Lonchura striata: one gene and its partner. Each later gene encodes a partner of the first gene's protein in a complex. Links are inferred from orthologs where the notes say so. Each region holds a gene or a part of one and is shown in the gene's direction. Other genes may lie near its edges. The genes, in order: MAPKAP1 and MLST8.

Evidence for each region.
Region 2: the proteins of MAPKAP1 (region 1) and MLST8 are in contact, whole or in part, in a cryo-EM structure (PDB 7PE8), measured with the Homo sapiens proteins. The link is inferred for Lonchura striata from reciprocal best matches to the Homo sapiens genes MAPKAP1 and MLST8. Residues at the interface, in NP_001006618.1 of Homo sapiens: Lys102, Cys103, Lys104, Asn105, Ile106, Gln107, Trp108, Lys109, Arg111, Asn112, Ser113, Lys121, Leu123, Phe124, Glu125, Lys126, Lys127, Ser128, Leu129, Gly137, Lys138, Gln139, Ser140, Ile141, Leu142, Val144, Arg145, Leu146; in NP_001186102.1 of Homo sapiens: Ala29, His30, Pro77, Ile78, Ile79, Ser80, Tyr81, Asp82, Gly83, Arg98, Arg110, Ile111, Trp112, Gln120, Cys121, Gln122, Arg123, Ile124, Asn139, Gln140, Ala141, Leu157, Lys158, Ile203, Glu206, Ser279, Gly280, Asp281, Gln283, Asp322.

The regions. Positions count from the first base shown.
Region 1 is NC_134624.1:10,801,823-10,817,420, reverse strand, and holds the start of MAPKAP1 (target of rapamycin complex 2 subunit MAPKAP1), read left to right. Parts: upstream 1-9,962; 5' UTR 9,963-10,044; intron 10,045-10,199; exon of another isoform or gene 10,200-10,264; intron 10,265-15,598. UniProt on the Homo sapiens protein: Component of the mechanistic target of rapamycin complex 2 (mTORC2), which transduces signals from growth factors to pathways involved in proliferation, cytoskeletal organization, lipogenesis and anabolic output.
Region 2 is NC_134618.1:17,029,572-17,044,553, forward strand, and holds MLST8 (target of rapamycin complex subunit LST8), read left to right. Parts: upstream 1-6,791; 5' UTR 6,792-6,937; coding exon 6,938-7,066; intron 7,067-7,141; coding exon 7,142-7,193; intron 7,194-7,407; coding exon 7,408-7,570; intron 7,571-7,715; coding exon 7,716-7,791; intron 7,792-9,882; coding exon 9,883-10,035; intron 10,036-10,126; coding exon 10,127-10,251; intron 10,252-10,692; coding exon 10,693-10,856; intron 10,857-11,288; coding exon 11,289-11,407; 3' UTR 11,408-11,769; downstream 11,770-14,982. Other genes in the region: hexosaminidase D, read right to left, coding at 1-97, 248-326, 532-614, 709-913, 1,021-1,092, 1,282-1,465, 1,558-1,722, 1,802-1,889 and 3 more; BRICD5 (BRICHOS domain-containing protein 5), read right to left, coding at 12,195-12,289, 12,818-12,971, 13,820-13,927, 14,082-14,234, 14,606-14,740.

The DNA.
Region 1 (15,598 bases):
GAAGGACCAGGCTGCATTACCTTTCCTATTTAATTCCCTGCTTCCTCCCTCAGTCCCGGCAGCACGATGGAGGAGCTCTAATGTCCAGCTGAGCCGCACAATTCATCTGTTTGGCTGATGAACTACTCCAACTCTATAAAAGCGTGGACTGTAAGAGCTGACAGAAACTTTAATAATTTATATTAAATATTGATGTGAATTATTTACTCCATTCACACTTAAAGCCAGGAATTGCCTACCAGAGAAAAGCAAACGTGACAAAAGGTCAACACGGCGGTGAGAAAAGGCAGGCGGTGTCAGGCATGTGTTATCTGAACCATGCTGATCACCTTGATAAGCGAGGAGCATTAAACATGACTGCTGAGCAAACAAACAAAGCATTCTTCTCGGGGTGTCAATCCGGCAGCTCCCGGGCGGCTCCGCTCGGGGCTGCGCTGCTCTGGGCTCGCTCGGATCGCGCCCGGATCCATCCATCCCTCCGCAGGAAAACACCACCGAGCAAGGACCTGACATCCATCCCTCGGCGCAGGAAAACACCACCGAGCAAGGAGCCGACATGCATCCCTCCGCAGGAAAACACCACCGAGCAAGGAGCCGACGTGCATCCCTCCGCAGGAAAACACCACCGAGGCACCGCGGGCACGGCGGGCAAGGAGCTGACGAACAGCCCGAAACCCGCGGGCACAGCCCGACCGGACCGCCACGCGCTCCGCTCCGTCATTACGAATACAGCCTCCATTCACCTCTAAATATTGCACTGCATTTGTAACAATTTAGAGTGTCTAATTCTGCTTATATTTGTCTACGGTAGACTGCAAATATCATTATATTAATGTTTCACACAAATCAATGTTTAAATTGAAAAAAGACAGCATAATATCCATATCGTACAACTTTTCCATTGAAAGCTGCAGGAACAGAGTTTGATAAATGTGTTAAATCCTGTAAAAAAAAAAAAAAAAAACACAACTGTTTTGCATTCCCTACATGCCATGATAATTTATCTCCGAATGCAAAAATTCCTTAACTTACAACAATTGTCCTAAAATACACCACACGGTAACTGCTAGAATTTCGTATTTTAGATAAGCAAGAAATGTGTCAAATTCAAAAATAAATGGAAACACATGAAAGACAGCTATAAAATAAAATAAATAAAATAAATCCCCGCTCCTGGCTAAATTAGTATTGACAAGTAGGGCCAAATTTATCCTCCACAGAGGGGAAAAAAAAAATCTCTGAAACCACTAATCCCACTACTCAAGGTGAAGATGGATATTTAAATGCAGCAAGGAGCACCAGCAATGGGAAGCACTGAAGGTAAGGTGCAGTCTCAGGTTCTGTGAGATAAAATACCATTAATTTCTCTAATGCCCATAATCACCAAATCGCCATTTTCTCAACTAGAGAAGTGCCCTGGTATAGAAATCCACCAAAGAACCAGGCTGCTGATAATGAATGTGTTGGAAACAGATGACCAAACGATAATCAAGACACTTTATTCAATTTATTTTTTCCTAGTAGGACATTTATGAAGAAAAGCAATGTCATTGCCATAAGGACAGTGCAAACGACCAAACGTTCTGCTGCACGGCATCATTTGTAATACATCTGCTGGCAATTAAAAAAATACATTCAAAAGTACAATCACTGGGTCGATGACAAACCTTGGTACTGAAGCATGAGATGGAAGCAAAAGCCAAACAATTTAAGCTGAGCTGGATGCACATAAACGCCCAGCTCTGACTTCTTCAGGTAGTCAGGGAACAACAAAATATGTATTTAGCAGCTTCAAAAAAAAAAAAAAATCAGGACTGCACATAAATATTTTAAAGAGCTAAAGTAAGTAACAATAACATCACAGCTGATATTTAGAAAATAGCCAAAATACACACGCACACTCTCACACACAGGCACATACACGTATGCTATCAGTGCCATGTCATTGTTCCATCAGAATCCTCTGGTGCTCCGGCAGGATGGAGGGTTATAGCGTGTTTCTGAGAGTTGTTGGCGCTAAACGCGAGTTTACAAGCGCAGGGGAGTTGGAATTCGTGCAGGGCAGGGCAGGGTGGCTTTCCCAGCCCCACGGCGCCGGCAGGGGCTAACACCTCAGCTCTGCCAGGGCCGGGCAGGGGCAGCGCTGCCCAGCAGTGCCCTGGCCGCGGTTCCAGGCTGCAGCACATCGACAAGGGGCGGTCCTGAGCAGCGGCCAGCTCATCAATAAGGAGCTGTGCAGCCAGGCAGGGCCCGCTGCAGCCCTGTCATCACAGGGACGGCAGCGCACGGCTATTTACAGCTGCGGCGATAAAAATAAAGGTAACTCACACGGCAACAGCCAGGAGTTAACCCCGCGGCCAACACGCGGTCTGTCTGCTTTTCAGAGATTTTTTATTCATTCTTTAAAACAAAAATCTATGCAAGGGGAGAACGTTCTTAATGAACATTTTCATCCTCTCTCTTTAGACATAAAAAATAGTTGCAGCAGCCCGAGCAGCCGAGCAGGCCTTTCGCTTCCCCTGCGGACACCTCCTGCAGTCGAGAAGTTCATTAAGTTTTATGATCTTCCCAAGTCAGTCCTGCTTATAAGCCTCACAAAGGCCACAAATCTGGCAAACCATCATGTATGCCATTAGGCTTTACTAGGAAATGAATGCTATTTAGGGGTGGTGGTGACAGTAAATTCGGGGTTGGTTGGCAGCTATCATTGTTGCTGCTGGACTTGGGGAAATAAATAAATAAATAAATAAATAACTATAGATGTGTGCACAGTTATGCACATGAATTCAGACATTTTTATAAACCTGTGATCCTGTCTCTGTAAATGACTTTTAAAGACAAAAAAACAAATTATCTATCAGCACAGTCCAGGACCTAATAATATGTTTCTCCATTGGGAAATAAATGCAATTCCCTAAGACATTTTAAGACTGCAAGAATTAATATATTTTCACTTCTTTCTCCATAAGAATAACCAGGACCCCAGGTTGAGCAACATCCTGGAGGAAGCTTAATAAAATCACCAGTCTGAAGGTGTTTCAGTCAGTAAAAAAGAGCTATTTAAAAAAAAAAAAAAAACAAACAATGGTGCAAATCAGTTTTTGATTCCTTCTGGTAGGATGTGAGGAAACAGAGTGTGACACAGGTATGCAACAGATGTGAGTGTGCGTCCAGTGACACCTCGGAGAGCAGGCAAAGCACAGCCAAAGGGAGCCACTGCCTCCTCACTTGCTTATCTTCCTATTTTATTGGAGGGGCTTCGGTAGAACTCTGCTATAATTTTTCTTTGAACTAATTAAAGCCAGAGGTGGCAGTTTCTTTATGAACACCATGCTACCTTGTGGTTGCCTCTCAGAATACACACAGCTATTAATAGTTGTAAAGCACTTAAATGTATTATGCAGCACTTTTGAAAATGTTAAAATGTTAAAAAAGAAATGTCAGGCTAAATTCAGTAACTCAGTGATTTGCTTTGTACATGGTAAATACCTCACAGGGAGAAAAAATAAAAATCTTCAGCTCCTGACCCTGTGTGAGGCTTTCAGAAATGAGATGTATCCATTAACCCTTGCTGGGAAGTGACAGAGTGGCTCCATGCAAACTGAGGATTCCTTCTCATGCTCTCTCCCAGCCAGTCTCACAAAGTCCTTGCTGACTGTACTGAAAACTACTAAAATGCAAATAAATACATAATTCAATATAAAAATTACTTAAATACCGCATGACTTGTTTCTGAACAGACATGACATCCTTCCATGGAGGAAGACAGTGATGAAACCACCATGGCAATTCCCACACCCAGGAAAACTTTGGTTCTGATCAGGAAGAATTAAACGCCAGCACACGACCCCATCGGAGATAGGTTTAAGCACCTGACAGTTGTCAGACCACAAGACAATGCAGAGCCCTAGGCAGAGAGGGGGACACCTCTGCCTTAACTGCATCTCAGACCTTTCCTCAAGCTTCCAGTTTAGAACTGAGCTGTTCCCTCCGAGAACAGCTTCCAGAAAACAGGCTACAATTTATTTTCACGTTTTCTTTGCTTTAGCACACTAAGTAAAGCCTGCACAGACATTTCACTTCAACTGGGAGACCCTGAGTGAAGGTCCCCTTCTGGGAAGAGTTTTTGGTGGAGGTGTGGATCCATCTCCATCAATCACTCAGAGCATTAATCGCGTCCCTCCCGTGATGCCAGGGCTGGCAGGAGCTCGCCTTTGGGCAGGCAGACGCCTTCACTCTTTGTTGGTTCTCAGCGATCTCACAAAAGAGGGATAACTTGAAAACTTGCTCGACTTCTTGCAGCACAAATGCAGCATCCCAACGTACAAGTTATCACTGAAACACCCCAAAAGGTTTCAGACCACAGAGTCTGTCGTCAGGTTCCCCCTCGCCTGCGAGACGGCGGCGGCCTCACAAACACCCTGTGCCAGTAATCCCACTGCTGAAAGGACTGGGGCTTTCTTCGCAGCTCACCTCTGACATGTGCCTGACTACGCTTGCCTTTCAAAACACTGAGGCTAAGCCCTCTGCAAATAAAGTGACCGCGGGACCTACGCCTGCCTCCTTAATTGAAATGTGCTCCTGCAAATGTCTGAACACCGAGGGCAGGTTGCTCTCTGGCTCCGGAGCAGGACGGGCAAAGAAGTTTAGGGAAAGGCAGGAAACAAACACACAAGCCAAGGAAAGGGGTTACGAGCCGACCGAGGAGGAACGTATATAGGTGGGAAGGGAGAGGGATCATTCCCCTTATCCCGGGTAATATAATGCAACATAAAGCAGAATCAATCTTAATATTCACAACACAGTCAATACCCTAGTGCTTAGCTGTCAGCAGGAACTGAAGTGGATCCCCGGTAGCAAAGAAACCCTTGGACATAAAGCACCATAATTCACAGAGAACCGCTCACTCCAGGCTCCACAGCTCAGATTTGCAATGATTTCACGTTGGGTTGTTTTCATCCAGTTTTATTTTTTCAGTGTGGAATTAAGCAGAACGTTACTGAGTATCACATAGAACTAAAAAGCCAGGCAATGGCTTAAGCTGTATGTGAATAATTGGCTATTCATTTTTAAATCCAGTCATAATAAATGTTTTTGTTATTGTTAAATGTTACTATTGTTAAATTTTATTATTCTCATTATTATTATTTTCATTAAATGTTCTTGTTCTCGTAATACAAAGCAGAATACTTTGTAAATTTTCTTCTTTAAACAAACAAAAAATTCTATAAATTCAGTGATGTGAAAAAATTGCAAAAAAAATCTCCTAGATCACCCACAAGAAAAGCACGGAGTTTATTTCTGTCGCGTTAATGTAGACGAAAAAAAAAAAAAAATACCGGACTTTGGAGATTTTTGAGAATTTTGGCGTTTAAAAGCCCTGCGCCGGGAGGCGCCGGCGCAGCGCCGGGCTCGGGAGCGGGGTCGGGGCGCCCTCGGCGGGGCCGCGGGGGCTCGGCTCGGCGCTGCCGCCCCTCGCGGAGCTCCCGGTGCGGTGCCGGGGTTAAACCCGCGGGCACAGCGCCGCGGGCTGTCCTTCACACGCCGCCGGACGGCTCGGCGGGGCCGGCAGCGGGCCCCCCGCGCCATTTCGCGGCGCTGCCGCCGCCCCCCGGGCCGCCGGGCGCCCCCGGCCCCCGCCCCGGCGGCGAGAGCGGCCCGGGCCCGGCGCGGCGGCGGCGCTAAGATGGCTGCGGCGGCGGCGCGGCGGCCCGTACCTGTTTTCTCCTTGATCTCGCAGAGGACGCTGAACAGGGCGGGTTTCATCCTGTGGCAGTTCAGGGCGTGTTTCCTGCAAGAGAGCACAGGACAAGCGGTTAGCGCCGGGCTCCGGCAACATGGCGCCTTCCCCGGGCCGCTCGCCCCCCGGCCGGGGGTCCCGGGGCCGCGGGCGGCGAGGGCCGGCCGGAACCTCCCTCAGCCCGCTTCGCTTCGTGCGAATTATCTTTGTGCAAACACCGCCCGAACGAGGGGGAAAAACCACCCCCCTCGTCCCCGTCCTGCGATATTAGACCTGATTTATTAAGGAGATTGGGGAGAGGGGGGGGGAGGTGTACAGAGTTAACATTGTTTTTGTATTTATTGTGATTGAATAGAGCCGGGGTTTGGTTCGGGCTTTATTCACACACACACACCCTCTCCTGCAGCAGTATCTGGTCAGATTTATAATTCATCTGCTGCCGCTTTGAGACAAGAAAAGAAAGAAAGAGGCAAAGTTGTACTTTGAGGGATGGCCGGACGGACAGACGGATGGACGGCGGCGCAAAGGCCGGTATCCACCGGGCAGCGTCCAGCGGGAACGGGCAGGGACCAGCCACAGCCTCCCGCGCACCACACCGACGGCAGAGCCATCGCATACTTCTACATTTATCATAGCTTTTTTTTTTTAAGGAAAGAAATCATTAAATAGCAACTTGGCTCTGCCTTGGCTGCTGGCAATTTCTCTTACGGCCCCAAGAAGTTGCTCTTAATTGTGAGACTCCGGGTCTCTGCAGAGGAACAGGAAGGAGAGAAACAAAAACCACACACACACACCAAAAATAATTAAAAAAATAATAATATTAATAATAATTTTTTTAAAAGACAAGGTTTAATTAGACGAAACCAACTTTGCTTGTGCCTCATCCAGGCTTTGGTCAGTGATGGTCATGATCTGATGGAGGATGTCGCCGATGTCCTGCTTCCTGCCGTCGCCGTCAGCCCCTTCGTGTCCGTGGGGAGGCGGCAGGGCCATGCCCCCCTGCACCGAGTGCCCGGCCAGGTTCACGCCGGCCAGAGTCTGCAGCATCCTGGACTGATCGTCCATGGCTCCGGGCCGGGCCGCGCTCCGGGCGGTCACGGCAGCGCCTGCCCCGCTCAGTCCCAGTGCCGCGCTCCTGACCGCGCTCTGCACACACACCACGAAAAAAGGGAAACAGGAAAAAAAAGCCAAACAAAACAGTAACAAAAAAAATGTAGTATTTGTGTTTTGACCGGATCTCAGCTGTTTATTCCACTCTCTTCTCCTTCCCAGGGCAGTAAATCACTCTCTTCTTTAGTTACAATCTTCTTTCATCATCATCATATTGGTGCCTCGGATAAATGAGCTGAGCAGATTTCTGTGAGATTTTCCTGGTACAATCTTCCTCCAAAGCTTTTTTTTTTCCTTTTTTATTTTTATTGTTGCTTTTTATGTCTTTCCCCACTTGTCCAAAAATCTTCTTTGCAAAAAGGCAAAATTAAAAAAAAAAAATTAAGTACAAAATCAAAAAAACTCGCTTTCAAATCCTTCAGAAGTTGGGAGGGTGCAAACAGCAAAAACCACAACAAACCAGCGAACACCCCCACCCCCAAATTGCAACATAAAAAAAGCCAAGAAAACACAATCACAGAGGGAAAAAAAAAAAATTAATCGCCCTCCCCCCCAAATAACAAACGATCCCAAGTCTGTGCACGGGGGTGAGACAGCAGCAATCAAAAGTTTGAACTTGTGCAAAGAAAAGAGCGGAAATAACGGGGAAAGAACTGTAAAAAAATTAATTACACACTCTCTGCAAAGCAATGTGCAAAAATATCGGCCCGCCGGAATTTATGAGCCCCGCGCCCGGTGCCCGCGCGTGTTTTATGTTGTTTGATGGCCGCTCCGGTGAGGGATTGACAGGCTGCCAACGCCACTCACTCACCGCAGACGTGTCACCCTGTGAAGGAGCCGAGCGGCGCGCGAGAGGGAGCGGAGCGCCGGCCCCGCCCCGCCCGCCGGCCCCGCCCCGCCGGCCCGCCCCGGCCCGCCCCGCCGGCCCGCCCGCCCCGCTCCGCGCGCGCGGCCCTCCCGCCGGGCCCGGCGGCGCCCGCGCTCCGGGGCGGGCGGGAGGGGCCGGCCGAGCGCCAGAGCGACGGGCACGGCGGCCAATCGCCGCGCGAGGCCGCGGGGGCTGGCTGCGGCCTTGGCCAATCAGCGCCCGCACGGTGGTGCCGCGCCCGCCCGCCCCAGCTCGGGCCCCGCCCCGGGATGAGGAACTTGTGATTGGGCCGTTCGAACGGCGGCGTGGGCGGGGCGAGCGGCCCGGGCCCCGCCCCCGTTGCCGTGGTGACGGCGGGCCGGTCCCGCCGGGCCGGGCCCGGGGCCTCCCGAGCGCCCGGGCCCGGCCGGGCCTGCCCGACGGAGCCCCGGGGCCTCCCGAGCGCCCGGGCCCGGCCGGGCCTGCCCGGCACCGGCAGCGGCGGCCGTGCGATGGAGCCCTGCGCAGGATGAAGGGTCCCGGGCCGGTCTGTCGCGGCCCGTGCCCTGAGCGTGTCCCCGCGGAGAGCTGCGGGACAGGACAGGAGCCCTCGGCACAGCCCTCGGCTCAGGGCCTGCGTTACCGCGTGCAATTGCAAATTATCTTTTTGTAAATGTGCACAGAACCGCGGAAGCGGGAGGAGGAAAAGGCACAGGCAGCAAGGGTAATTACGACTTCATTCCCTTAGGATGTTACATGTAGATCGTTGCCACCTCCTCAGACTGTCCTCACGTGGGACACTGCCCCGTTCGCTCCTGCTTCCCTCAGGTTGGGCCATTTTGTCACACTTCGGGTAGAGCCACGGTTAAAACCATCCTTAGTTTGCTTTTTGTGCTCTGTCTGTGGCAGACAGTCTCAGTGGAGCCATGCCCGCACCCAGCCCTCATCCCCTGACCTTCCTGGTGGTCTGGCTGATGCCTCAGGCTGGCATCAGAGCAGAGCTGCCAGCTCGCCCCAGTCCCAGCTGGCAGCGCCATCCCTCACCTTCACTTGGGCCTGGATGTCACCGGAGCCCTTTACCTGGCTGGGGCCTCGGATGGCTGGTGCAGATGGAGGTGGCTCCTGGTCAACAAATCTGTGCGCTCACCGTCCCCCCATACAATTAGTAAATTCATTCACATTTCAATTACTTTACATCTTAACTACTCCATCATTGTCTGTCTTGAGCCAACGAGTTTTCAGGGTCATCCAATTTTACTAAGAACACTACCCCAAAGGCATTTTAAATCGGTATTTTTGTGAATATTTCACAGATGCACTTGCCCCCTGAGGGTGAAGTGCCACGGATGGAATGGGCAGATCCCCTAGCCCCTGACCCTGCCAAACGGGACAGGGCTCCCTGGCCCCTGCAGGGACCTGCTCAGTCTCACTGCATCAGCGGAAAGCTGCTCTTCTGGGTGATTTTGGTACTGTTTCAGGAGGCTGAGTCCAGTCACCCCAGAGCTCTGGGCTCTGCCAGCTGCAGCCAGGCACTCCTGTGACATGCCCTGTGCTGGGGCAGCTCCAGCTCCTGCCCTTACTGTGCTGTTGCCAGTCACTGGTACCTGCTCCTCCCGGGCCTTGGTGGCACTTGTGCCATGCTGTGCACTGTCCCTCTCAAAGGCAGCTGGTTTGCGTTTGTGCAGCTGCTGAGGCTGCCACGTTAGGCTTTCCTCAGGGATGAACAAGTCTCCTTGCTTGCACAGGAAACTGCGGAGGCTGCACCAGCAGGTCTGGAGAGGTGACAGGGACACAGAGCCAGCAGGCCAGGAACAGGCTCCCTGGGAACAGCTGGGAGCACCGGCAGCTCGGCTGTGCGCCCTGCTCAGCCCCGGAGCAGCGGGTAACCGGGGACACTGCTGACGGCCCGGGCGGCGCTCGGTGCCGGTCCGGGCACACTGACCCGTGTGGGGTTCATCCCCTTCGTGTCTGTACTTGCGTGCTTGGCCTCAAATCACCAAATAAACACAAACGTCACCGTGCTTTTAGCAACACACTGGCAATAAAGCCAGTGCGACCCCCGTGAGAAAAGCGTCCTGTGTGCTGCCGTGCGGCACCGGGGAGCGCCGCTCGGCCGCGGTGTCCCGGTACCGGCGCGGGGCATCCCGGGCAGGGCGGCTGCGCCCGCCGAGCCCGCGGCCCGCTGCCGTGCCCGCGTGCGGCCCGCGCCGCCGGTACCGCCGGTGCCACCGCCCCGCCCGTTCCGCGCCGTCATTTCCGCGGCCGCGGCGCTTCCGGGTCCCGCGGGCGCCCGTTCCGCCGGACCCGGACCCGGAAGCGGCTGCGCGGCCCCGCGGCGGCGGCGCCGGTAAGTGCGGGGCGGGGGCGGTGGTGCCGCGGCTGCCCGCGCTGCCAGTCCCTCGCCGGGCCCCGCGGGATGCCGTGACCGGCGGCAGCGGCTGCCAGCCCGCCCGGGACGCGGCTCGGGCACCGGGGCTCCCGGGGCGCGCGGGCGGGGCCGCTCCCGCGGCTCTCCCGGCGGCGGGGCAGACGGAGCGGGTCCGGCCGCGATGGGCGGCGGGGCACAGGTGAGTGCGGCGGGAGCGGCGGGCACCGGCACGGTCCGGCGGGCCCCCCGGGATGCCCTGGGCGTGCCCGCACTCCGCGGCAGCGGGAGGCACCCGGCTGCCCTGGGGACTCCGGCCGGTACCGTCTCTCCATCCCAGTCCCGTGCCCTGGGGGCTCCGGCCGGTACCGTCGCTCCATCCCAGTCCCGTGTCCCGGCTGCTCCTGCCGGCCGCGGCGAGGGCTCTGCCTGCCCAGTGCTCCAGGTGCGCTCTGAGCAGCATCGCACCCGAGTGCCGTTCCGCACCGGGCTCCCGGTGCTGCTCCCGCTTGCCGGTGCCATGGGAACTGTGAACACCACACGGGAGCGGGAAGGTGTCCGGGGGATGCAGCAACGAGTCCGTTTCTGTGCTAGTGGAAGTCTGGTAATTGACTAACCAGAGATGCCAGAGCCAAGCTTGGATATCCTGTGTGTGTTTAGCCGATTTTAGGTGTCAGGGAATTATCAGGTACATGCAAGACTGGGAATTAGACTCTCTCAGTTACTTTTCCAAATTCAGAACAGCTCCATTCACGGACACTTTTTTGGGTTAGATTAAAAATAAATTGGGATCAGCATGTACGTACATATAGACTTGTACAGAAATAACTGAAGCAGGGAGAACCAGTTTAGCCAATTTCTGTATCAGTAATGTTTCACATCTTTGTTGTAACACCCTTTCCTCATCTGTTGGTTACATTTTCACCCATTGCAACATGTAACAAATTTAGAATAACAAATAACAGATGTTAAAATAACAAGTAACAGCTACATTCTTGTTGTGCGTTTCCTTTGGATCGGAGAAGGCCTCTGCAGGTGGAGCAGCCTGGCACAGGGATCTGTGTTATGCGTTCTGTAGCACGAAATTTTCCCGGCCATTCGAAGTTGTGAGCGTGAAAAGCACACACCTGTATGGAAAGGTCAGTTATGGCAACCAATGGCACAGCACATGGGCAGCGTGCTGGCCACATCCCCAGGTAGGAGCAGCCCATCTCCCACGTGGTCAGTCTTTTTGGAGATCACACAGTCACTGAGGCTGGAAGAAACCTGTGAGATCATCGAGCCCAGCCTCTGACTCACACCCCTTGTCAGCCAGGCCGGAGCACTGACACGTCCAGTCTCTCCTTGAACTGCTCAGGGCTGCTGATTCCACCACGTCCCAGGGAGCCCCTTCCAACCCTGACAGCCCGTGGGGTGAAGAAATTCCTTCTGATGTCCAAGGGCAAATGGCACTGGCTGAGAAGTGGGGGTGGAGCTCAGGTGTCCACATTTGCTCCCATTCAGGTGCTGGAAGGGGCAGTCTGGAGCTGAGGAGCAGAGCCCGGGGCTGTCAGTGCTGGTCCCACTGCTGGGACTCCCCGCAGGGAGGGGCTGCCTCAGGGGTGGCAGCAGCTCTCCAGGGCGTTTGTTAGTGCCTCTGACACGAACTCCAAGTTGTGTTTAATATTAACTCTGTGTGTGTGTGAGCTGAGGAGCTCCATCAGACTGTGATGCCTTGTTGTTCACTGTCTGTCAGCTCAGTTTTATATCCCAGACTGCAAAAGGGCAATCCCTACCTTGTTTGCTTATTGCCTGAGAAGTGTTGTATCTAAATCCATTATCCTGAGAGCAAAACAAAGCTCCTTGAATATGTTTTGTGTGCTCTTGAAAGAGACAGACCCAAATTTAAAAGCCAGAGAAACGGGGGATTCATCTTTTGCTGAAGAAATGTGAATCTATTCAGTTTCATTTGACATAAAGTCCCAAAGGGACTGAAGGTCTCAGGCATTTTTAAGGAGGTCTGATCATGAGTATTTCTTAAGTCAGAAGCAGCTTGCATGCTGCTATATTTAAAAAATAAGATATGATCATGTTTTTAATGCAATAAAAATATTTATGTACACTCAAAAGTAGAATGGCAACAACCTAAAGAAACTGTCTGACAGAGACCCAAGTGTTTGTTTTGACAGGTGCTGCTGTTTAAGGCACAGCCCCCTGCCTGGCAGTGTCAGAGCAGCCTCCCTGGTGCTGCTGCAGAGCAGTGCAGTGGCTGTGCTGCGAGCCCCTGGGCTGGCTGGGCCTGCCTCGTGTCCCCAGGCTCTGTCCTGGCTCCAGACAAGGCAGATTCTATGAGCCTGGGGGCCTTTTGGGTGTAAAACCCAAAGAGAGTAGCATCTCTCTCAATAGCAAACAGGCAAAAAGGTAAAATGGTGAAGCTTTCTGGTTCGGCATTTTTTATTTTTTTAAGATTGAAGCTTGTATTGATGTTTATGAAATTTATTAAGTTTTTTAGGTCCCTGAATATCACACTGAGAATTGTGAAAATAGAAGCTCTAGTCTGATATTCAAGCACTCCTAGCCTGTGCTTTCATTCTCCACTCTACAACAAGATATTTTGTTTATCACAGAACCCAAGAGTGGTTTGAGTTGGAAGTGAGTTCAAAGCCCACCCAGTGCCACCCTGCCCTGGCAGGGACACCTTCCACTGTCCCAGGTGCTCCCAGCCCCAATGTCCAGCCTGTCCTTGGGCACTGCCAGGGATCCAGGGGCAGCCCCAGCTGCTCTGGGCACCCTGTGCCAGGGCTGCCCACCATCCCAGGGAACAATTCCCAGTTCCCAATATCCCATCCAGCCCTGCCCTCTGGCAGTGGGAGCCATTCCCTGGGTCCTGTCCCTCCATCCCTTGTACACAGTGTGTCTCCATCTTTCCTGTAGACTCCCTTCAGCTGCTGGGAGGCTGCATTTAGGTCACTCCTGGGCCTTCTCCAGGCTGAACAAGCCCTGTTCTCTCAGCCCTTCCTCATAGCAGAGGTGCTCCATCCCTCTAATCATTTTTGTGTCCTCCTCCAGACCCGCTCTAGCGGGTTGATGGCCTTTAGGAATGGTCAAGCTCAGCAAACTGTCTTTAAAGCAATTTAGGCATATGAGTGGCAGAAAGCGTTCCATGGAAAAGCACCTTTGTTGCAAGTGTTCCTTCCCAGCTTTCTGTGCAAAAGCCCATCAGCTTCACCTTCTCCTGGACAGGGATTGCTGTTCCCCTGGAAAAGAGTGTTCAGCAGAAATAAAAGTGAAATTAATGTTACGTGTTACTTACAAGGCCCTCTGGTTTTGTTTTGTTGTTTTAAAGGCAGCAGCAATTAAGCCTCAAACAGGAACTCAGACACTCAGATATTTTTTCTGGCTAGCAATTCTCCCACACACGTGCTGTGAAATTGGGTCAGGGGTTCTGGGGGTGTGGGTCACCCCAGTGTGACACTGCAGCTGTGCTGTGTGTCAGGAATGCCTGCAGACAGCATGGGAAAGCAAGCTCAATCAGAGACAGTAAAAATGAAGCGAGCGTTTGCACGTTCTCAGATGAGGCAGAGCCGGGCAGGACGCGGCGCTGGGAGCGCCTGGATCCCAGCGTTCAGCACAATATCTGAATGAAAAATGACAACACTTTGTCATCTGTTCAAATTGATATTGCACTCTCGGCTGTGACAGCTGAAAAGGCCCACAGGTGCCATATAAAGAGGTGACCATGTTGTCATATTTCATTTAGGCATCCCTCTGCAAAGCCATAATTACCTAATTAGGTTGTTAATTAGGAGATTAGCATTTCGCTATATTGATAGAATGCTCTTTGCAGGCATGAGTCTAGATACAGATTTGTCTGCCCTAATTTATGATCTCTGCATTTTTTATACTTATTTATTTGCTTAAAATCTTGATGCAAGATTTCTCAGGTTAGCAGAGAGTCAACTTGTCTGCAATTAAACAAAGATTTGACATGATCAGGAAAGAGAAGAGTGAATACTTCCCATACATACCCCAGTGTTTTTCCCACCTCTAAAGCTCAGTAATTAAAATATTGGAATTGGTGTCATTTGCATCCTGATTAGTGTGACAACAAAAGTATAGCCAAATTCCAAGCAGTTCAAAAATACAGAGCTAATGCCAGATTGATTTACAGGTCTGTAAATGAACAAATAATTTGTTGGAAGTTGTGTGTAATATAGTATTTGCTCATCATAACGTCCCAATTCCAGTCTCTCTTGTGAGAGAGCCTCTTTATATGACTGTAAATGATTATTTCCTTTTTAATGATAGGACTAGAGTGTGAGTGACAGCTTCTGCAGATAAGTATTCACTCTTAAATGCACTTGAGCTTTTGCTGAAACAGAAACTTGAATGTTCATATATTTCAGTTCACTTTCCTTTATCCTGCCTGCCCAGGACCTGTCTGTGTTTGAGGGGGTTGATTATTTTTGCTGCTGCAAATGCAGATAACCAGAACCATTTCTTGTGCAATTGCATAGAGAAGTTGACTGGGAAATTATTTCATATAACCTGAATCATAAATTTTGAAGTATGTTCATGCTGTCCTGCTTATATGACACAGGGGGGAAAATCAATTTTTAATTCTAATCTGCCTATCTTTTTTCATTAGTTTTTAAAGATCACTTTGAAGAGCTACAGTCAAGGAGGTGTTTGAGTACAGGGACTATGGAAGGCCCTGAATGATAACATGACCTGCATTGGTATATAATTTTTCCAGATTGCCATGTTTCGAGTTTGTTAGCATTGTCTTCAATCCAAATTGTACCTTCCACAAGTTGTGTCTTTGGAATACTTTTTTTTATTTTGAATAGGGCTTTAAATGTTTGTTACTTCCTTAAGGAGCATTGTCAATCTAAACAATATTAAAACAAACGAACAAAAAAACGAAAACAAGCTACAGCTTTGCAGAACATAAGGAAAGAAGCTTACTTTTTTAATTTAGAGAGGAAGATACATGGCAGGAATTGGCTTGAGAGTTTTGTGGAGAATTTGGAACTCCTTTTAGCTATTTGAAATAGAGAATTCTTAAAATCATTCCATTAAAATTGGTGGAACTTCAAAGTTGTAGCTCTTTCCCGCAGCAGAACATTTTTAGCTGCTGACAGCTTTCTCTGATTTTATTGTTTCTTGTAGCTTATTTAGAGGTCTGTGTATTTGAAAGCATGAAAAGCAAAAATATCAACCCTTCACTTAAAGAAAATATTTCCTGTAAGATGCCATAGAAAGGTGGCCCTGGCTTGTCATGTTAGGGCCACGTCCTGAAATGACATGTCAGATATGTGCTGGTGGCACCACAGGGCTTTTGGTGGAGCTGCAGATTCTGACCTGGAGCCTGCGACCTTTTGGGGACAGGTACAGGGCGTGGAAGTGTCTGTTGGCTCAGGTGTCACCTCACCAAGAGAAATACATAGTTCTGCTGGAAAATGTGACAGGACCTGCAGGAGGGCACAGGGCTGGGGGCAGTGGGTGGCAAAGGGGGGCCTCCAGCCATGGAGGTGAGACACGGCTGCCCTGGCTC
Region 2 (14,982 bases), on another chromosome or scaffold:
CTCCTCCAGTGCCTTGAGGATGCTCTCCTTCAGGTGCCCATTAACCTGCTCCACCATGTGGTAGATCTCCACACCGGGGAACGCTCCCCTGCCTTCGCTGGGGAAAGGGAGGAGAAGGTGAGGGCTCGGCACGTGGGGTGCACTGAGCTGGATGAATCCCAGCACCCTGGCAGGTCTGGGACCAGGGCATTTGTGTGACCAAGCCTCTGCTTCCCTCCAGTGCATCCCTTCTGACACGTGCACGCACCAGGTGCTCTGCTCCAGCTGCACGCTCTCCAAGCCCAGCACATCCAGGACCTTCCTTTTTGCCTCTTCTGTGAAGCCCCCTGGGAGGGCGAGGAAAGGGACAGAAGAGCCAGGGAGACGTCACCATGGGGCTCTCCCCAGCTTCACACACCGCCGAGGCTGAGCGAGCTGAATCTCTTCCTCCTCCACCTCCCAGCTCCCCCAGCGCCCTGCCCAGCAGGGTGGGTTGGGCAGGCAGGGGGAGCTGGGGGTGAGCCCGGCCGTGCCGGGGGGCGGGGGGCTCACCGTTCACCAGGGTCTGCAGGCAGATGGCCAGCGAGGGGATGCTGACGGGCAGCAGCTCGCAGAGCACCGAGTAGTGATCGTACCTGAGGAACAGGGACAGCCACCACCGTGCCACCACCGTGCCAGCGCGGCTCTGCGGGCACCGGGAGGGCACGGGGGGGTCCCACCACCCCTCACCTCTGCCAGCCGGTGAGCACCACGCCCTGCAAGCGCAGCGGGGCCAGCCGTGGCACGGCCTGCATCACCTTCAGCCAGCTCAGGTGGTTTTTCAGGTGGTAGCTCAGCGGGGTCCAGGCCTGCGCCGGCCCCGTGGTGCCCTTGAAGGCGCTGGCGAACCAAACGGCCTCGAAGCCGCTCTCCACGTACTTGGCGAGGAACTGCTCTGCAGCGGGATGGGCGCGAGCCACCAGTGCCACTGTCCCCAGGAGGCTGCGGGGGGCTCGGGTGGGATCCCCCCAGCACCCCCGGGAGCCCGGCACGTCACCTTACCGATCTGCTCAGCCTCGAAGTCGGGCGCGTAGAACCACACCACGGGTGAGACGTGTCTCGCTATCCCGGCCTCTGCGGGGACGGCAGCGAGGGGACGTTGGTGCCGGCAGCAGGAGGGAGCCTCGGGCTCCTCACGCTTCCCCCAGGGCAAGGCGTGGGCTCCTGCTGGCACCGGGCACGATGCCAGCCAGGGTGGGCACAGAGCGGGTGAGGCTGAGGAGCCTGGCACAGGTGCCACCAGTGATGCCCCTGTCCCCTCACCCCGCAGGGCTCCCACGCTGATCTTCCTCAGCATGTCGTCCCACATGAGCACCCGCAGCCCCCAGTACTGCGCCGTGAGGAAGCCCAGAACCTCCTTGATGTGCTTCAGGTACATGGTCCCCACGTCGCCCTTGTTGTGGCTCATCCAGTTCTTGGAGTCCATCCCCTCCCCGAGATGGAAAACCTGGATTTGGGGGAAGGGAGATGCTCAGCAGCCCTGGGAGCACCCCCAGAGCCTGGGGTGAGCGCTGGGGTCCCCGCAGAGCCCCTGCCCACCTCGTCTGCACCGATGTGGATCCAGGTGGAGCGCCGGTGCTTCTCGATCACCTGGGACAGGATGCTCTTGAGCAGGGCCAGGGTGTCAGGGAGGTGGGGGTTGAAGCTGTTGGGGAAGCGCTCGACCTCCCGCAGGTGCTGGTACTTCTCGTGCTTGAGGATGAACTGTGGGGAGGAGCCCTCAGGGGGGTGTCCAGGGGAACCCCTGGGATCTGGGATGGGGAGCGGGACTGGGACCCTCTACCTCCACATGGCCAAAGGTCTGCACCAGGGGAACCACCTCCAGCTTGTGTTGCTCCGCCAGCTGCTGGATCCGCTCGATGTCCTCCTCGCTGGGAGGGCAGGGACAGGCTCAGCGGGGGATGCCAGGGCAGAGGGCACAGTGTGGGGGCAGTTCCCCTTCCTCCCCCTCCTCTGGCACCCTACCCACATGGCCCCAGTTGCCCCACATATGTGTGCACTTTACTGAAGGGCACAAACATTGACCTGTCAGGGCAGGAAGAGCTGCTGGTGTGCCCAGCAGCACAGCCTGGCACTCTGACCGCGGGTACCGTGGGCACGGCGCCGGGTGGGTCACACCCAGCCCCTGGCACAGCGGGACCCGAGGGGGCCGCAAGCCCCACGGCCAGCTCGGCACACAGCCCTGCTCACCTGTAAGCGTACGGGGACCTGAGGATTTCCAGCTCCCCCTTGAAGGGGAACATGTCCTCGTACTCCATGAGGACGCCGTTGGCTCCCAGCTGGGACAGGAGGGGGAACACCTGCAGGGTGGGCAGGGTGGGCTCAGCAGTGGGGATGGCACAGTCCAGGTGCCAGCAGGGCCGAGCCCCGTCAGTGCATCCCCGCCTTGGTCCCCCCTCCCTGTCCTGGGCATCCTCACCTGTTCCAGGTAGGAGACTCTGGGCGCAGCTCCCTTGAGATCCAGGTGGACCAGCCTCATTTCAGTGGCACTGACATCCCTGGAGACCTGCTGCTTTTGCTTCAGGGTCATTATCTTTGCTGCAGGGAGCTCCAGAACCTGGCTCTGGGGGATGATGTCCTGGACGACGTCACCTGTGTCCCCCCAGAACCCGCTGTCCTTGCTGACGTGCTTGTGCAGCTCCAGGGTAAAGCTGCAGGGAGTGGAGCAGGGGTGGGGGTGTCCGTGGGGTTATGGGGGCACCAGCTGCCCCCAGCACCAGGCACCACACAGACACAGCCCAGGGGGTGCCACAAACCCCGGGCTCCCCCCCCGGGGTCCTGCTGTCACCTCACCTGTCACGGAAGAGGAACTTGATGCCAGCCAAGGCAACGAGGAGCAGCACGACGAGGCGCAGCAGGTTCAGCCGGTGGCTCCGCTGGAAGGCCATCACTGGGACCTCTGGGGACACACGCAGGGGCTGGTACTCCGTGGCCAGCAGTGGCCACGGAGGGACCCCCAGCACAGGTGAGCCCACCCAGCCCCACGTACCGAGCCCTGCTGCCCTGCCCGCGGCAGCACGAGACCCAGAGAAGGGCGACATGGGGGCAGCCCCTCTGGCCAGCCTGCTGCCCAGCGGGGACGTGTGGCAGTGCCCCGAGTGTCCCTCCTACCTCGTGTGCCCCAGCGCGGGGCCAGAGGCCGGCTCCGCCTCTCCCTCTGCCCGCACGGGTGAGGCCGGGGCCGGGGCAAACAGGGCGGTGGCTGCAGGGCAGGTCCCCACCCGGGATCCCGGCCGGCTGCCGGTCACCCCCGGGCCAGGGCCGTGTCACAGGGCGGCTGGGTGGGCCGGCATCACGGGCTGGGCACGGTGCATCCCTGCGGGTAGGGAAGAGGTGATTGGGAGCCACCCGGGCACATGCCAGCACCGGGCTGCACCGGGATGGCACCGGCACGGCCGCGGCACTGGCACGGTGAGGGTGGCACCCGCAGGGCCCGCGCGAGAGGCAGCACGGATCCTCCTGGGAGCCACATTCAGGCACTTCTGCCCCTTCCTTCTCCTGTTTCTCCGGTTCTGGAGTGTTCGGGGAGGCCCGGCCAGGGCAGCGCAGCCCCCCCGGCCCCGCGGAACCGGCGCCGCCGCTGCCGCCAGCGCTCCCGGTGAGTTGCCAGCCAAACACACCCGAGCTCGGGGTTAAACTCAGCTCCTCCGGCAGACTGGGGAAGTGAAAAGCAGATTTTGGCAGCTGCGGGTGCCCAAGCGGCTCAGCTGATCGCGAGGGTTTTGTTTGCGTTACCAGAGCGCGGCGGCACCGGGGAGAGCCGCGCTGAGCCGCCCCGCGCCCCGAGCGAGCCCTGGCCCAGACACAGCCCCGGTCCCTCCCGACACGGGGGCTGAGCCCCCCGGAGCCCCCCGGCAGCAGGAGCTGCTGTGCCCAGAGCACGAGGCCCCAGCCAGGGCACAGGGCAGGACAGCGACGAGCAGTGGCTGGAGCATCCCCGCTCCATCCCCACGGCCCGGTGCCCGCGGGTACCCAGTGTCTCGGTGCCCGTGGGCAGGAGGAGGAGCAGGAGCCGGATTTTGGGGAGCACTGCACTCCTTCCCTCGTGGCACTGCAGCTCCTGCGCTGCGGGGGACAAATCTGGTTCCCGCTCCCTGCCGTGCCCAGCTCGGGATATTCCTGGCAGCTCCAGCAGGGATGTGCCGGGCTGGAGATCTCTGCCAGCCCAGGGGTCACCACTGCGGGCACGGAAAGGCACCGAGGGCACACAGGACGGGGGGCAGTGGCCCCTAGGCACGCAGCATGGGGAGCCCAGCACCCAGAAAGGCCATAAATATGCCAAGTGCTAATGGCGCTGTCATGGGAACACAGCGCCTGATCGGAACAGGGATAAATATTTAGACAGACGCTGTCAGCTCGCCAGGATTGGGTGTTTTTAATGCACGTTATCTTATTTAAATAGGGCAGGTTCTCAGGGCAGGAGCTCCCTGGCACTGCCAGGGCGAGGGACGGAGCGGGGGAGTCCCGAGGGGTGCCGGGGCAGCCGGGGCGCTGTCCCTGCGCCACGGGGACACCCCGGGGCAGCGAGGGCTCGGCCCTGGATGCCGCCCCTCGAACCGGCAGCTGGCCGCCAGCACCGGCTGTATTTGTGACCTCGCGTCCGCTGCTGCCCCGGGCCCGGGAGCTCGGGGAGCCCGCGGCTGGCACGGGCGGCCAGGCTGGCTCCCGGAGGGGCGAGAGCAGCCGCAGCCCCGGCCCCCTCCCTGCCCCCAGGGTGGGCTTTGCTGCCAGCCCCCGGCATCCAGCCCCGCTCACCTGCCCGAGCCCCCAGGAGGGGAGGGTGGACGCAAACAAACCCAAACCTGAGCCCGGAGGTGGCAGTGGCCGTGCTGGGGAGGGAGCCGAGGGTCCCGGGGGTGCCACTGCGTTCCGTGGGCAGGCAGCGAGGGTTTCGGTGCCCCCCCGCTGCCCGCAGCCCCGCTCCGGTGCTCCCCGGTGTTTCCACGGCGAACCCCCGTGCCCCGGCACCCCCGGCACCCCCGGCCGTGGGGCAGCCGTGCACGCTCACACACACGTGCACACGCTCACCCGCTTCCAGAGCATTCCATGGCCGGCCTGGCCGTGCCCAGCCCGTGCTGCCAGGCTGTGCCACCCCCCGGGACGAGCTGCCCCTCGCCAGGGGTGACAGGGATGCAGCCCCACAGCCGGGGACTGCTGCGTGGGGAGGCTGCAGGTCTCTGTGGGGTGCAACCCCGGCGCAGCAGGAGGGGGCTGCTCCCTCATCCCTGGGCACAGCTGCTCCCTGTCCCATCCCTGTCCCTCCCATGGAGCAGCCTCTGGGCACAAGGGACCCTTCCCACAGCCCACCCATCCCTCTGTGCTGCGGGGCACCCCCCACACCCCACAAACCCGGCACACCCCACAGCTTCCCACACCAAGGACACCTTGGGCACTCCCGCTCTCCACGGCACCCCTGAGACCCCGGGCACACCGGCGTCCTCCGCGGGCATCCCTGCATCCTCCCGAGCATCCCTGCATCCTCCCGAGCATCCCTGCATCCTTCCCGTGCATCCCTGCATCCTTCCCGAGCATCCCTGCATCCTCCCGAGCATCCCTGCATCCTCCCCGGGCTTCCCTGCGGCACCGGGGCCCTGCGTCCCCCCGAGCATTCCCGCATCCTCCCGGTACCGGTCCCCAGCACGGCGCCGCCATCTCCCGGCCCCGAGCATCCCCCGCTGCCCCGGCCCTTACCGGCAGGTGCGGGGCGGCCGCGGGCACCGCCGGGAGCGGGCACGGGCACGGGCACGGGCACGGCCGCCGCCGCCGCCGCCGCCGCTCTTAAAGGGCCCGGTGCCCGCCGGTGCGGCGAGTGAGGAGGGACGCACCGGGCTCAGCGGGCACCGTGCCCAGCGCCCCGGTGCCACACGAGCGCGGCGGGAGCACCGGCAGAGCGCGGAGCCGCTGTCCGCCCTGACCGGGAGGCACCGGCACGAGGGGCGGCCCCGGGGTGGCTCCGCGGTGCTCGGTGCGTGCCCGGTGTTGGTTCCCCGTTCCCGTTAGGGCCCGGTGCGTGCCCAGTGCCCACCCCCGCCCAGCAACGCCCGGTGTGTGCTCTGTGCCTGCAGCCCGGTGTGTGTCCCGTGTCCCATGTCCCATGTCCCGTGCCCCGTGTCCTGTGTCCCGTGCTTGGTGTGTTCCCAGTGTGTGTCCCATGTTTCATGTCACAAGTATGTGACATGAATCGAGCGGATCCAGCAGTGTGTGCCCTGTGCCCAGTGTGTGTCCTGTGTCCCATGTCCCCTATCTCATGCCCCACATCCCATGTCGCTTGTTCCATGCCTGGCATCCCATATCCCATACCCCATACCCCACATCCCATATCCCATATCCCAAATCCCAAATCCCAAATCCCACACCCCATATCCAACACCCCAACACCCATACCCCAACACCCATACCCCACATCCCATACCCCACATCCCATACCCCATATCCCAAATCCCAAATCTCACATCCCAAATCCCACACCCCATATCCAACACCCCAAATCCCATACCCCACATCCCACACCCCACATCCCATACCCCAAATCCCAAATCCCAAATCCCAAATCCCAAATCCCAAATCCCAAATCCCACGTCCCGTTTCCAGCACTGCGCCCCCTGGCGGCGCTGCTGCTCTCTCCCCCCGCCGCGCTCCGTGGTCTCGCCCGCCGCTCCCCCCGCGCCCGGGCCATGGTCCGTCCCTGTCGCCGCTCCCGCGCATGCGCGCTCCCGCCGGACGCTGCGCACTCGGGAGGCGCCGCGCGCACGCGCAGAAGCGGGAGCCGTGAGGGCACCGGGAGCGGACCGGGAGCGGACCGGGAGCGGACCGGGAGCGGGGCTGAGGGAGACCCGCGGGCCGCGCCGACACCCCGCGGCGTGAGGGCGGCCCCGCAGGCTTTAGGGAGCCCCCCGAGCGCGGCGGGAGCGGCGGCACCATGAACGCGGCGCAGGGCACGGTGGGCAGCGACCCGGTCATCCTGGCCACGGCCGGCTACGACCACACGGTGCGGTTCTGGCAGGCGCACAGCGGCATCTGCACCCGCACGGTGCAGCACCAGGACTCCGTATCCTTCCTTCCGTGCCCGGCGCTCGGGGGCGGGCCCGGCTGATGCTCCGTACCGACCTTAACGGGACCGCAGCAGGTGAACGCGCTGGAGATCACGCCGGACCGGAGCATGATCGCGGCCGCAGGTGCGCGCTCCTGCCGCGCCGGTGCTCGGCCGCGGTGCTGAGCCACTGTCCGGTGCCGGGCTGCTGCCCGGTGCTCTGCCCCAGCCTGGAGCTGAGCCTCTGCCCGGTGCTGAGCCGTGGTGCTGAGCCTGTGCCCGGTGCTCAGGCACTGCCCGGTGCTGAGCCGCTGCCCAGTGCTGAGCCGTGGTGCTGAGCCTCTGTCCGGTGCTCGCAGGGTACCAGCACATCCGCATGTACGACCTCAACTCCAACAACCCCAACCCCGTCATCAACTACGACGGCGTGAGCAAGAACATCACCTCGGTGGGGTTCCACGAGGACGGCCGCTGGATGTACACGGGCGGGGAGGACTGCATGGCCCGCATCTGGGACCTCCGGTGGGCACCGGGGCTTCCCCGGCCCGGCAGCCCCCCCGGGAGCCCTGAGCACCCCTGTCACACATCCCACAACCCCTGAGCACCCCTTCCTTATTCTGTCCCAGGTCCCACAACCCCTGAGCACCCCTCCTTCATTCTGTCACAGGTCCCGGAACCTCCAGTGCCAGCGCATTTTCCAGGTGAACGCTCCCATCAACTGCGTCTGCCTGCACCCCAACCAGGTGAGGAAGCTGCCTCCTCTGGGGTTCCCAGCTCAGAGAATCCTGAGGAACAGCGCTTAAAGCTCATCCCATCCCACCCCTGCCATGGCAGGGACACCTTGCACCATCCCAGGCTGCTCCAAGGCCCCTCCAGCCTGGCTTTGGGCACTGTCAGGGATGCAGGGGCAGCCCCAGCTGCTCTGGGCACCCTGTTCCTGTGTCACCTCTGGGTAAACCTGAGGGGCTGCAGAGATGTATCCCAGCAGAAGATGGGGTACAGCACAGCATGGGCTGGGGGCTTCACACGATGTGTTTGTGCTGCTGACCTGGTGGCTGTTGCAAAGGGACAGCACAGGGGCTGCACTGAGCTCATCCCACGGGAGGAAACGCCCTTGCAGTGGGCCCTGGGGATGTGATGGGAGCAAAGCTGGAAGAGTGAGGGCAGCTGGGGAGCTTGAGGGTGACAACACTGCCAGGGAAAAGCATCCTGGGGCCTTTGGCTGTGATTCCCTTCAGGTGGGGTTTGGTTGAAGTTCCCCAGTGGGTTCAGCAGCTGTTGCTGAGCAGAGGGAGAGCGGGGGCACTTGAAGAGGCTGAAGAGAGCACGAGCAGGGAAATCAATAGGGGTCAGTCAGTGCTAATGGCTGGGCTGGGCTTGCAGGACTGTGGTTTTTCCTGCCGACCATCCAAACCTCTCTAAAGTCCTGAGTCATGGAAATGTTCCCCTGCGTTTCATTTGGCAAAGGTTTAATTTTGCAAATCAGGAATTTCAGGCGAAATTTGAGATGGGTTATTTGGAGCAGACTACCCAAATCATGTAGACAATCCGCTGTCTTGTAGTGTCAGTGCTGTGAGAGTGTGTTGTGTTAAATGAATGTTGCTGAACATAGGTCTTTGATGTGAAATAATCCCTGAGCACGGTGCTGCTGAGGTGCAGAGTGCTGGTTTGTGAGCAGAAGATGGATAATTAGACCAAAGGTGGCAGCATTTGTTCGGGCAGTTCCGTGGCTCTGCAGTTCCCTCTGCAGAGATGCTGATCCAATTATCCAGAGATTCCTCACGGTCTGAGTAAAGCCATGAAAACTTTGGACTCATCATTTACACCTGCTGAGAGGGGGCTGAGGAGCTCAGAAGAGACTTTTGTGCAGTCAGATAAATGCATTGAGTGGTGTCTGTCTCCTTGGAAGCAGCCTCTGCTCCCAGAGACAGGATTAGCTGTGCCTGATGACCTGATCTCCTCTAGGGATTCTGCTAAAATTATGGACAGCGCAGGGCTGTCGATAAAGGCCTGCTCTGAGTGGAGACATGCCAGCATTGTCTTCTGCCCTGAGCACGGGATCAGAGCCAGGACTCCTGCCCTTGGCTCTTGTCCTTCCCCTGAGAAGGGGGGAGAGAGAGGAAAAACCCACTTCGGTTGTGTTTTTCTGGTATCTGCACCCTTGAGTGCTTCAGTTGTTCAGTGGCCAAGCTGCCCCTTACTGCTGCCTCTCAGACGTGCTGAAAACCACTTGGCTGCTGTGGGTGTGCCACAGCCCTGGAACCAGGACAGCTCTGTTTGCTCTGGGGTTTAGAAAATCAGCAAGCCCTTCTGGGGAGGGAAACAGCCTTTTTGTAGAGTGTCACGGGAGTCAGTACCCGGCTGGGATAGGCAGGGTGTGAAACAGCCCTGAGCTGGGGAGGGAGGAGGCAGGACAGGACCGTGCTGCAGTGGTGCTGCAGGGGCACTGTCACTGCTGAGGCAGGGCTGGGAATGATGAGACTCTTAAGCTTAGAAGGTAAAGAATGAACTTTATTAACAAGTACGTTTCTCTTTTATAGAGAACTTTGTGACAATTAATTTCATTGGTCTTAATTGGTCTTTCATTGGTCATTTTACACTATTGGTGTACTATGAATAGCACATGGTGGTAGAACATATCTACAATCAATATGAACAGAAAGAGAGATAATAGATAATTTAAATTTCTCTTGGACTTTTTCCCAGGCTTAGCCTGGTAGAAATCTCTCATTTTCTCTCTGATGCAACTGAGAATATCCATAGGGCACGACGTGGGTGCCAGCTCCAGGCTGCTGCTCACGGTGCCCACAGAGACACGGCCGTGTGCCCTGCAGGCAGAGCTGATCGTGGGCGACCAGAGCGGGGCCATCCACATCTGGGACCTGAAGACTGACCACAACGAGCAGCTCATCCCCGAGCCCGAGGTGTCGGTGAACTCGGTGCACATCGACCCCGATGCCAGTTACATGGCGGCCGTGAACAGCTCGGTGAGCTCCCCGATGGGCTGGCCCGGGCAGCCGGGCTGGGTTTGGGTGGGCATCCAGCAGCCCGGGCACAGCTCCCGCTGTGTCTCTGCAGGGGAACTGCTACGTGTGGAACCTGACGGGCGGCATCGGCGAGGAGGTGACGCAGCTGATCCCCAAGACCAAGATCCCGGCGCACACCCGCTACGCCCTGCAGTGCAAGTTCAGCCCCGACTCCACGTGAGTGTGCAGCCCCTCACCTCCCTCCCAGGGCAAACATGGGCCTTTTGGGGCAGGCAGGGGCCAGCTGTGCCTCCAGCTGTGCCTCCAGCTGTGCCTCCAGCTGTGCCTCCAGCTGGCTCCACACTGTAGGTCCCCAGGGAGGACCAGGACAGGGGGCAGGGGATGTGGCACCAGGGGGTTGCTGTCAGGGGTGTCCCACTCATGCTCCCTGAGCTCAGCAAAGTTTGCAGCCATGAGCTGTTCTGCAGCTGCTGCAGTGTGAGCTCCTTCCCACAGTCTGTTCAGCTGGAATCTGCTAAATCAGACTGTAAGGAGATCTGATTGCAATGGGAGCAGTACTCCAGGCTGGCACTGGCCCTGGCCCAGCTCTGTGGCAACCAGAGGCCCACAGGGGGACAGTGACTGATGAGGTTGCCCTCAGATGTCTCCTTCTTGCAGGCTCTTGGCCACCTGTTCTGCAGATCAGACGTGCAAGATCTGGAGGACTTCAAACTTCTCTCTGATGACAGAGCTGAGCATTAAGAGCAACAACCCTGGGGAGACATCCCGGGGCTGGATGTGGGACTGTGCCTTCTCCGGGGACTCCCAGTACATCGTCACAGGTGAGGCACCACCTGGGCTGTGCCAGGGCTCTGCAGCAGCCAGGCCTGCCCACTTACCCTGGCTGGGACATGGCCAGAGCCTGGGGCACAGGGCTGTGAGGTGGGAGCAGCCAGTTCTGCTGGCTGGAGCATTTTGTGCTGCTGCAGTGGGGCAGCTGTTGGAACTGCAGAGGAGAGCTCCAGCTGTGCTCTTCAGCTCCCAGCTCCCAGCCTGTTAGTCCCTTGACCACACCTGTGGTCATTTCCACACTCACTGCTCTCCAAAAGAATGAAACCCCAGAGAAATGCACTGAGCTGCTCTGCCTTGCTGGTCATCACCAGCCCTAAGGATGCCTGCATGAAGCAAGAGCAAAAATATTTCTTAGAATAATAGTAAAAAAAAAGCTTAAAAGGTAACATATATCCAACTCTTCTTTTCACTCTGTGTTCCAGCCTCCTCTGATAACCTGGCCAGACTGTGGTGTGTGGAGACAGGAGAGATCAAGAGGGAATACAGTGGCCACCAGAAAGCCGTGGTGTGCCTGGCCTTCAACGACAGCGTCTTGGGATAACAGCCACCTGTGGCAAGGACAGGACCTCTGCTTGTTTCCCCTTGCCAGACCCTCTCCAGAGCCTGGGACATGCTATGTACCCATCCCCTCCTGCACGGAGAGGGCTGGGGCTCTGACAGGGGCAGCTGCACTGCCTGAGGTGAGACCAGGCTTCAGCTCCAGGCAGCACATTGCTGAAACGTGTGTGGGAGGGAGTGGGACAGGGAGGCACGGTCCCACTGCAGGGACATAGGTACAGTTCAGCTGCAGGAATCCCTGGGGCATTGGCTACTGACAGCTCTGGATGTCCCTGTACCCCAGAGTTGGGAAAAAATAAAAGTCAGCCTTTGCCAGTGATGGGAAAGGCTGAGCAAAGAGGAGAAGCAGCTCTTGTCTTGGTTTGCAATCCCTTTATTCAAAGTGTTTCACAGAGTGACTTGGAGAGCTGCTCTCCTAAAGCCAACCACCCCCCAGATGTAACAACAACCACCTTGTGTTGAACAGAGCCTGGAGCCCCAAAACTCCAGCTGCTTCCCGGGATTCCTCTGGGCCTGGGTCTCCTAATTCCTATGGACGAGGCACAGCCCTGGAGCAGAGCTGCAGTGTCTGTGCTGGCAGTGCTGAGCAGAGGCCTCCTGTTTCTCTAAACTCTCCTGATCCTGTTTCTCTAAACTCTCCTGACCCGCAGCACGGAATCAGCAGGAAGCTCTGGGGATGTTGCAGGTGTTCCCTTCCTTGTGGAAGTCAGAGGCTTTTCAGGAATCCAGTTCAAGTGTGAGGGCAGAGAGGGCGGCCGTGGCTGCAGCACTTACTCGGGCAGGTAATAGAAGCAGATGGAGACACAGATGTTGCTGGGGAAGCAGATGTCAATGCACAGGTAGATGAGGCGCTGCTTCCCCGGGCCTGCCAAGGAGCAAGGACAGCAGTGAGAGCAATGCTTTGGTCCTGCAGCTGCAGAGTCCCCGGGGATACTTTGCTCCTGCAGCTGCAGAGTCCCTGAGGATGCTTTGGTCCTGCAGCTAGAGTCCCTGGGGAGCTGAGCAAGGGGAAAGCCTCAGGCATGACCTTTCTTACTCAAGCTGGAGTCAGATGGAGCAGGCTGACAGCTCAGCAGGCTGCTTTGGCTGAGGGTGAAGATGACAGGGATTAACCAGCGGTGTCTCAGGGGACAGCTCTGTGTGCTGGCTGTGCTGTGCTGCTGGGCAGCTCAGAGCCCATCCCCGTGCCACGGCTCAGGACAGGGGGTGGGTACAAGCCAGCACTCAGGGGTGGTGAACAATGGCCTGATTTTGTACTAGAGGTCACCCGTCCCTGTCCTGGGCCTTGGCAGCCTGTCCTGGGCTGCATCAGCTGCTGTGCAGCGGAGCCTGATCCTCTTAGAGGTGCTAGAAAAGCTGCTGCTTCCCCTGCCAAGGGCAGTGCCCCGCTTACCGTGCCCTCTGCGCACCCAGAAGATGGAGGTGTGCTCACACAGGGTCTGCACAGCCTCCCCCAGGCCCCTGGGCTCCAGCTGCTCCCCTGCCACAATGCCCAGGAACTCCCGGTAGAACTTGGTCTGGTTGTTGGGGTGCAGCAGCTGCTCAGCCTGAAAGAAATGGCGCTGCTGGTTCCTCACTTTGTCCCTCAGGCCCCAGAGCCCTGCTCTGGCTCCCAGGGCACCCCAGGCGTGCTCTGCAGCCCAGCAGGTTTCTCCTGCCAGCTGCCCTGCCCCAGCTCTCATTTTCTGTCTGTGGGTGCTGGCAGCCCCAGCACTACCCACTTTTACTTCCATTTAGGAGCCTCAGGGCTGGGCAGGTGCTTTCCTCTCCCTGCATCCCTTTTGGGAGCCTGTGTCCCTGCACTTCTCTGGGAGTAAGGTGAGGACCAAGGAGCCCCCAGGAGCTGCTGAGGAAATGGATAGCAGATGGCAGGGGCACAAAAAAATGTGGCTTTCTGTCTTCTGGAAACGGAATCTGCCCCTTCTCAGGCATCCACTGACACTTTGTTCCGAGGGTCCGTATACATGATTGCCTCCAACTTTCTTCCCTGGGAGTTGGTAACAAACCCCCCTTTGTTTTTCCTCCCCCAGATTTTTGAGCAGGTAACAGAATCCAGTGGGAGCAGGTGCTGCAGGAGCCCTGCTATTCACCTCCATGGGACACATCCCCCTGCCCCAGGCTGCTTCCCACAGGCATCAGAGTAGGGATAAACCCAGGAGCTGCTGCTCACAGCTGGCTGAGAGCCCAGCCTGGGGGCACAGCTTTGCTCCTGTGAGCAATGAATCCCTCAGAACAGGGGCTGCCACTGCTCCCCCCAGCTGGGAGACCCCTGCCCTGGCTCCCTGAGGGTGGAGAGTCACTCCTGCAAACCCACAGAGGGGAGAACGCTCAGCAGCCCTGTGCAAAGCTCAGCCCATCCCCCAGCTATCCCGGGAATGCTGCAGCAGCTGCTCACGCTGTGCTCAGAGGTGTTGAGAGCTGTCTGCAGGGTCTGCAGGTCCCAGGGGTCCATCCTCCTCAGGTAGCAGGCTCGCTGCTCCAGCGGCTTGTAGCACACGTAGCCCTGTGGACAGATGTGCCCCTTGGAGCAGGCAGCACATGCCCACCCCTCTCCCAGGAAACCCCCAAAGTGTTTCCCCTGCTCTGTGTTCACAACTAAAGGTGCAGAGGAAGGCAGCAGAGAGGAGCTGGGGAGGCAGAGGTGCCCCAGCACTCACGTTCCTGCTGTCGTACAGCACCACGGCGCTCAGGTTGCTCTGCGAGGTGATGTAGTAGGTGACGGTGCTCCTGGCCTCGTCCACCACGGCAGTCTGGTTCCTCAGCAGGTCCTGCTGGCCCTGGAGCGTCACTCGGAGGAGCTGGGAGCCAGCCTGGGCATGAGGGGCGGGAGGGCAGCACCCAGCATCAGCTGCTCCCTGTGCAGCATCTCCCCCCAACACCCCCAGCTGGCCCTGGGCTGGCCCCTGCTCCTGTCTGATTCAGCCGTGGAGAGGAGGAGGCTCTGACCCACAGCTCCTCACCCCCAGTGCCCCTCGTGCCAAGGGCACCAGTGCTGGAGGAAAGGGCCAGGGGACTCCCAGCCCTGCCTGCAGCCTGCCAGCACCTCCCTGCCTTGTCCAGGGGCTGATCCAGCCAGACTCGGCCCACAGCTCAGCCCACCCATCCCTCCTGGGAGCTGCTTCCCACACAGCCCAGGGCTGCAGGAGGGAGGAGGCTTCCTGCCCAGATCAGGATCCCTTACCTGGGCAGAGCTGGGGGAGAAGCTGAGAACCCCCACGACAGTGACACCAACGACTGCAAAAAACAACAAGGCAACGGACAAGATGATCCAGAAGGTCCTGGAGGGAGCTGGGAAGTATGCTGTGGTCCTCCTGTCCTGGGACATGGAGCAAAAGGAGGAACAGGAGTTAAAATTGACCCTTCTGCCAATTCTTCCTCATCAAACAAGTTTCCAGCTCATGCCACAAAGCCTTGTGCAGACTGGTTGGAGTGCAGCACCTGGAATAACAGAGCCTTTATCCCAGAGTGCTGGAATTCCAGATCCAGCATCCTGGTAACCAGCACTGCCACAGCCAGGAAAGCTGCAAAGCCCTCGGGGCAGGGCTGGAGCAGCAGCTT